2 linked regions of the Saccharomyces cerevisiae S288C genome follow. The gene in region 2 interacts genetically with the main gene of each other region. Each region holds a gene or a part of one and is shown on either strand. Other genes may lie near its edges. The genes, in order: CIT1 and SYM1.

The links.
Region 1: mutations in SYM1 (region 2) and CIT1 impair growth when combined (synthetic growth defect), as found in Saccharomyces cerevisiae (one study listed by BioGRID).

What each region holds. Positions count from the first base shown.
Region 1 is NC_001146.8:629,117-633,208, forward strand, and holds CIT1 (citrate (Si)-synthase CIT1), read right to left. Parts: upstream 1,946-4,092; coding exon 506-1,945; downstream 1-505. Other genes in the region: putative ammonium permease ATO2, read right to left, coding at 3,892-4,092. UniProt on the Saccharomyces cerevisiae protein: Specific citrate synthase with catalytic activity only with acetyl-CoA.
Region 2 is NC_001144.5:639,305-642,574, reverse strand, and holds SYM1 (ethanol metabolism protein), read right to left. Parts: upstream 1,112-3,270; coding exon 518-1,111; downstream 1-517. Other genes in the region: nucleobindin SSP120, read right to left, coding at 1,554-2,258; YEF3 (translation elongation factor EF-3), read right to left, coding at 2,661-3,270. UniProt on the Saccharomyces cerevisiae protein: May be involved in cellular response to stress. Required to maintain mitochondrial DNA (mtDNA) integrity and stability. Required for ethanol metabolism and tolerance during heat shock.

The sequences.
Region 1 (4,092 bases), on a different chromosome or scaffold from region 2:
TAAAAGTGACATTTATCTTGAGGTAAGAACAGAAGAAAAAAAGGAAAAAGAGAAAATTTTATGAGATTGCTTTTTTCACATGACCATATTATATTCGCTTTATCAACTTTTTAGTGTATCTTCTACTCTAGGACAGATAAAGATGCATTAACCTTGTCATTTTGCTTCTTCTGCAGGTTCATATACATATAAACGTTAGTTACACCTTGACGTAGTATATCGACTACAGGCTAGATTTTACTGCTAAATCAGCGCGCCAGCCCACCACAATTCGATTTGAAAGCGCTTTGCAGGAATTTAAGAGCATTTTGTTTTCTATTCATTGATATCATTTGCCAAGTATATAACATAACCGGTAGGCATAGGGGACTCAAAGCGTAAAAATCATGAAGTCATAGCCATTTCCTTATGTAATATATATTTATATAAATTATAAACTACTCATTCGTATATGAAAATACGTGTTTGAATAGTCGCATACCCTGAATCAAAAATCAAATTTTCCTTAGTTCTTACTTTCGATTTTCTTTACCAACTCCTTGTATTTTTCGGTGGAGAATGATTTTGGCCTTTCGATTGGAGCACCAACAGCCCTATCGATGATTAATTGGGGTAACACACCAATAGCTCTGGCAACACCAAACAATACAGTGTAGAACGAAGCCTCAGTTAGACCATAGTATTGCAATAAAACACCGGAATGTGAATCAACATTTGGCCATGGGTTCTTAGTTTTACCATGCTTAGTTAAAACCCCTGGGGCAACTTCATAAATGGTGGAGACCAACTTAAATAACTCGTAATCTGGGAAATGTTTCAATGCGAATTCACGTTGAGCCGTATAACGAGGATCAGTTTTTCTCAAAACCGCATGGCCATAACCAGGAACAACTCTCCCTGCGTTCAAAGTATCCCACAAGTACTTTTCAATTGTTTCTTTTGAATAGTCACCTTTCACTTCTTCTCTCAATTTAAATAGCCATTCTAAAACTTCTTGATTGGCACGACCATGTAATGGGCCAGCTAAACCATTCAAACCAGCGGCCAAAGATAAGTATGGCGAAGATAAGGCAGAACCCACTAAATGTGTAGTATGGGCAGAAACGTTACCACCTTCATGATCAGAATGAATAGTTAAATATAGTCTCATTAAGTCAATAAAATCCTTGTTTTCGTAGCCCAAAAGTTGGGCCAAATTTTTACCATAGTCAGCATTAGGATCGGTTGAAGTAATTTTACCATCCTTGAACACATTACGATAAATTTTGGAAGCAATAACAGGTAATTTACCCAGCAGATCTAACGAATCTTCAAATGTATAGCTCCAATATTCTTTCTTGGATACACCTTGAGCATATGCTTTGGCAAACTTAGACTCGCTTTCTAAAGCAGTCACGGCAATAGAAAATTGCGCCATTGGATGTAGATCTTTTGGGAGGCTATCTAAAAGTTGGATAACGTGCTCTGGAATTTCTGATCTGGCAGCTAAATCAGCAGAAAGGGCTTTAACTTGAGCGTCAGTAGGTATTTCACCAGTCAAAAGCAACCAAAATAAAGCTTCTGGCAAAGGTTCTGTACTACCCTCAGCCTTTGGTAGTTCCCTTTGAATTTCTGGAATAGTACGACCCCTAAATCTAATACCTTCTTCGGGGTCTAACACGGAACCTTCCCAAACAAGGCCTTTAATACCTCTCATACCACCATAAGCTTGCTCCAAAAGAACTTCACCAATAACGGTTTTACCGTGTTCTTTCTTGAATTTTTTAATTTCTTCTGCCTTTGCTGGGATAATTTCAGCAAATCTCTCCTTCAACGTTTGTTCGGAGGCGCTACTATAGTGGCGAGCATTCAATAGTGCAAAAAGAGCCTTTTGCATATTTTGACATTGTCTTGTGGAGCCCCTTGATAAGAAACTTTTGCTAGTTGTTGATAATATCGCTGACATCTTCGTAAATAGTATTATATTGCTATATGTTTTGCCTTATTTTCTTTTTAATGGTTGTAATTGTAATTACTTAAATGCAAATAAAAGCCAAAACAAACCTGGTTTGTATTTTAGTAAACAGCAAATTTCCCCCTTAAGACTAGCAATCCATAACAGGGGAAGGGTAAAGAATAGTTGCTGCAAGTTTTGAGCATTTATATAATGGATGGATATCAATTGACATTTTCAAACAACAAGAGGTCGGATAAGTCGATAGTATCGGAAAAGCTCCAAAGGGATTGCGATCCTCCAATAACACAAAAGTATTTTTGGTCTAGCGGGGGTCATACTTTTCATTTCCGGGCGGCTGCGGCGGAAAAAAACGTGACGCCTTTTAGCACAAAAATGCAAGGTAAATACATAAAAAAAAAGGCAATGTGAACGTAAAAACGCTCATATTTACAAAGATTAATTGAGCCGTTCAATGAAATGCGAACTTCGGAGATTTCTTTAATTAGTTTAGGTATACTTTCCTGCGAAGGTCTTGTTGGAATATGTAGTAATCTCTACCCGCGTTTTTAGTTAATGCTGAATGGTTTTTGATGGCTCCTTTTTTCTTAGAGTGACAGGCGCGGCAGCCCCTTAACGCGGGTACCTGAACAAGTAAATCCGAAAATTCAATTTGACAAGGGAATCATTGGGCTGACAACAATAAGATGAGCTCTCTTATATTTTTGCCCAGGGAAAAATTTTTTGCCCACTAAAGATATGCAATATTAAAAAATTTGATAAAAATAAATCAATGGGGGCGAGCCGGGACTCGAACCCGGGACCTCCCGCACCCTAAGCGAGAATCATACCTCTAGACCACACGCCCGGTAGAAGTTGTTTTAATGAATTTCAAAATATGGTACCTCAACATCAATAGATCATCAACCACAACGTAAAACATGCATGTGAGGCTTAGGTGATTTTTGAGATAATTGTTGGGATTCCATTGTTGAAAAAGGCTATAATATTAGGTATACAGAATATACTAGAAGTTCTCCTCGAGGATCTAGGAATCCTCATATTCCTCTGTTGATAATTAGAGGTTAAAAATTAGTATTAATGAAGAAATAAGTACTGATCTTCTTATACTAAATAAGAGATGTATATAAAACACACGCTGATTGGTCATATTAATCATGACCAATATAATAGTGATTCCGGTAGTTACTAAACATTGATGTGACGACTCATATTCCTCATATATGTACCTACCATAACATGTTCAACTAATAGGTCTTTAACACAGCTTCAGTATTGTCTGAGCTTCTCGTTTAACATTCCTTCTGCAATAGGCGCAATCACACTTAAACGTATACGAGGTGTACATTAATATACGATGTAAGCATTAGATTGTTACCATAGCAACTCATGTCACTATTAATTACTCTCGTTCCAACAAAACAATTCTTAAAAATTCACCAATTTAGCTTCATGGCAAGGCTTACAGATGATTAAAATCGTGTAGATCATGGAAATCGAACCTTTCACGTTCTGCAGAATTTAAAGTGACTCCATGGCCAAGTTGGTTAAGGCGTGCGACTGTTAATCGCAAGATCGTGAGTTCAACCCTCACTGGGGTCGTTTTTTTTCTTATTTCAGATAGTCTTGTCGGTAGCAAACAGTCAAATCGCTATCACTTACATGTGATATCATTTCTGTACTGCTTATGCACTATGAAGTGCGGTTTCTTTTTTATGCGATATTACATGTGTCAATAGCAAAAGGGGTAAACCGTGCTCCTATACAACAAGAACAATAGTTCGGAAATGCATGAGAACAGTGTTGTTTTATAAAGGATTCTATGTGAAATAAAACAAAGGCCGATTTGTTCGACATTTGCTGGGCTTTTCATAAATAATGGATCATAAGAATATATAATAGGGGTAAAAGTTATTTTAGCCTGCACTTTTGTGTTTTTAGAAGAACACCTTATCATTGCTAGGTAATGCGAATGGATGGACCATAATGTACGAGTTTTGTCTTGTGGCAATACCTGCGTAAGCGTTGTACCAGGCAATGAAGGCTACTATCACACCAAGGACCCCACCAGCTCTAGTGACGCCAACTTCGCCTGTGAAGTTTGCAATGGATAGAAGTAAGAAGGTCACTGCTAAGAG
Region 2 (3,270 bases):
GGCTCAATAAACTTTCAGACTGATTCTTTCCAGTTACGAAGGTAGGAGTACAATATGCATACATAACGCAGCGATTTACAAGATATGTTCCTCGGGTCTATGTTTTGACCTCTTTTAACGGCATATGAAAAAACCTTTGAAAAAATGAAATATTATATAAAGGTCCAGAACCCACAGTGGTACTAAAAGGCCCACTTAAGTCTCACACCTAATTAAACACCTTTGCATAAACGGTAGCTGAAGAACAACAGGCATGACCGCAATAGTGAAATGTTAGCTACTATTTCCTCTATAAAAGAAGTACGAATGTAATTAAATAAATTGTTCCTGACCAAGCACATCTGTAAAGGAAAAGCAGATTGCTAGCCAACTTTGGTGACTCAAATATTTATGAAGTTGGTCTGCTCTCTGCCGAAAGTCTATTAGGTATATGCTGTTCCAGTACCCCAAGGAACAAGGTCTGATAAATATGCTAGTTGAATTCCAAATATTTTCAAAATCAGGATTTCTTATCCAGTTATTCGACCACGGGTGGATAATGAACAGGTACCTTGTCTTTCTCCATAACCTTTGAGTTTTTATAAGATAAGTAAGTGTTCCAAAATATTGCAACGACATTAACAGCTAGTAACCTATGTTGTAAAGGAACAACAGAAAAGTTAATCGCTTGGAAAAGTGGCCAAACTGCCCAATTAGTCAAAAGTGTAGGCCACCATTGCTCTTTTATTTTCAACTTAGCTACGTCAAATGATCTACCTTCCATGATGGACATACAGGTGAAATAAAATGGCAAACCTAGCGGCGCAAACGCCAATTGATCGACAGCTACCCGTAAAACCATATTAGACCAGTGGTACTGAGGTCTGTTACGCATATAAATCTTGTTGTTCAAGATCTTGTACCACTTGTCACCTATAAAGGAGAAAATTAAAGAACCATAGATGACAGCCCTAGCTGTCCTTTTATAATCATAACCCTTGTTTACTTTGGATGTTGGAAACAACAATTGAGCAGAAACATCACCAATTCCAAATAGCGCACCTGTCATTATCGCATTCGTAGTTTTGGGCCTTCTCTTCAAGCTCGCTTCATATAAATGCAATAACTTCATACTGTTTTAATATCAATTCTATCTTTCCTATAGTAATAACAAAAGACTGTGTTTGCCTTTTCCCTTTTGTAAGGCTAAATATGACAACATAGCATTCAAATAGCTCTTCTATCATATCACTATCATAGATATTTCCATTTTTTTTTTTTTTTCACTTTGTACTTATACTGTTAAAGTTCGACATTTAAGGGACAAGGAGGTGCCACTGTTTCCCGAAACGCTTCTTGTTACCATCGGAGAGAAAAGACCAATACATACGTAATTAGAACATAGAAAATAGAACGTTTAAAGTAGATAGTTAATCACAAAGGAGAGGCATCACAACGATGCGATGGTAAAAATATATTTTAAGTGCTTTGATTACTTACTACATGCTAATTGACTACATACATAGTGTCTTGAATATTTTCTCAGTCTCAACTATTCATCTTGACCAAGTCCATTAAAAAATTCCATTTTTGAATTTCTCGGGAATATTTTTCAGCTCTATTCTAGACTCTAGTTCGTCATCAGTTATTACAGTAGCTCTAGAAGCGCCTCTTTGAATTTCTTCTTCATGTTCAATTTCATGTTCATGATGAAGCAATTCATGTTCTATGTCTTCTTTGTGAACGACTTTAACGTCTGGATCTTTGTCCTTATGAAACTTATTCCAGTGATGAATTTCATATTCTAGCTCAAAATCGGAGTGGTGACCTACACCAACGCCAAGGTCAGGGAACTTGTTTCCTCTCTTAGCAAATTGTAGATATTCCTCCTTGGTGATTTTGGTATTATCATCAACATCCAATAACCTCATAATAAGGCTAACAACACGCTTAGCCATTTCATTGTCAATTTTCTCAGATTCATCGTGTTGTCCCATACCATCACCAGCCCCCACAATTTCTTCACGGTTCAACCCGTAGAGAGATAGAATATCGTTTTCATCTAAAAATCCTTTCTTCTTGATATCATGTAACGCGAAGAAAGTCTCTGGAGTGTAATCTTTTAGCTGATGCTCATGGTCCATATGCCACTCCTCCCAGGATAAACCATCAGGTGGTGCCTCATTTTCCACATTAATTTCAGATCCTATTTCTGCCGTGGCAGTTACTTTATATAGAGTGAAAGCCAAAGAAAATACAAATCCCCTCAAAAACCTCATTTCCACAATTTTAATAGAACAGGGATGAAAAAATTTTAGGTCTTGGCTCTTTTATCTTTTCTAGAAGGAATATAATATTACGCTCAATCATGTTTTAAAGCTTCCTAGTCTATGATCCGTCACCTATTTTTATTCTTCCAAAAAAATATTTTCGTTACCCTCTTACCGAAAAGGGTATGAGGCAATGCTCAATTTGCCTGAGCTTAAGAATGTATGAAAAAAAAAGATGTCTGACTAATGGAACGCTTTTTCTTTTAAATAATGCCTTTCTTTATAATAAGGAAGTTGCGTCTATATTTTACCAAAATAAACAATATTACAAAAACATAGAAATTAAAATATACATAAATTATTGATCAATAAAAATCTTAAAGAAAACTGTGAAAGCAGTGATCAAAAAGATTAGAATTCTTCGTCAGAAGAAACGTAAGCATCACCCAATTCCTTCTTCTTCTTCATTCTTTCCTTCTTCTTCTTTCTCAATTCCGCAGAAGACAACTTCTTCTTCTTCTTACCACCGGCAATCTTGTTACCCATAGCATCGAATTTATCTTCTTCGTCTTCCTTCTTTTCGATTCTTGGACCAGCACCTTGACCACTAACCCAGTTGTGACCAGATGGAGTCATTCTACCGTCCTTGACGGCCCAGACTTCTTCAGTCAAGTTCTTTGTGAATTCAGCAGAGTGAGTAATGATAATAACACCACCTTCAAATTCCTTCAAAGCCTTAGACAAAGCACCCAAAGAATCTCTGTCCAGATAGTTGGTAGGTTCATCTAAGACAATCAAGTGAGGTCTTTGCCATGTACCGGCAGCTAAGACCAACTTAACCTTTTGACCACCAGACAAACCTCTAATTCTGGAGTGAGAAACAATTTCTGGGTCCAAACCCAACATGGAACAATGTTCTTCAATTTCTTTTCTGGTTAATGGACGGAATTGACCAGAAGCCAAAGCTTCCTTCATATCAACTTCAGCAACCATCTTAGAGTGAGATTCAACCAATTCACCT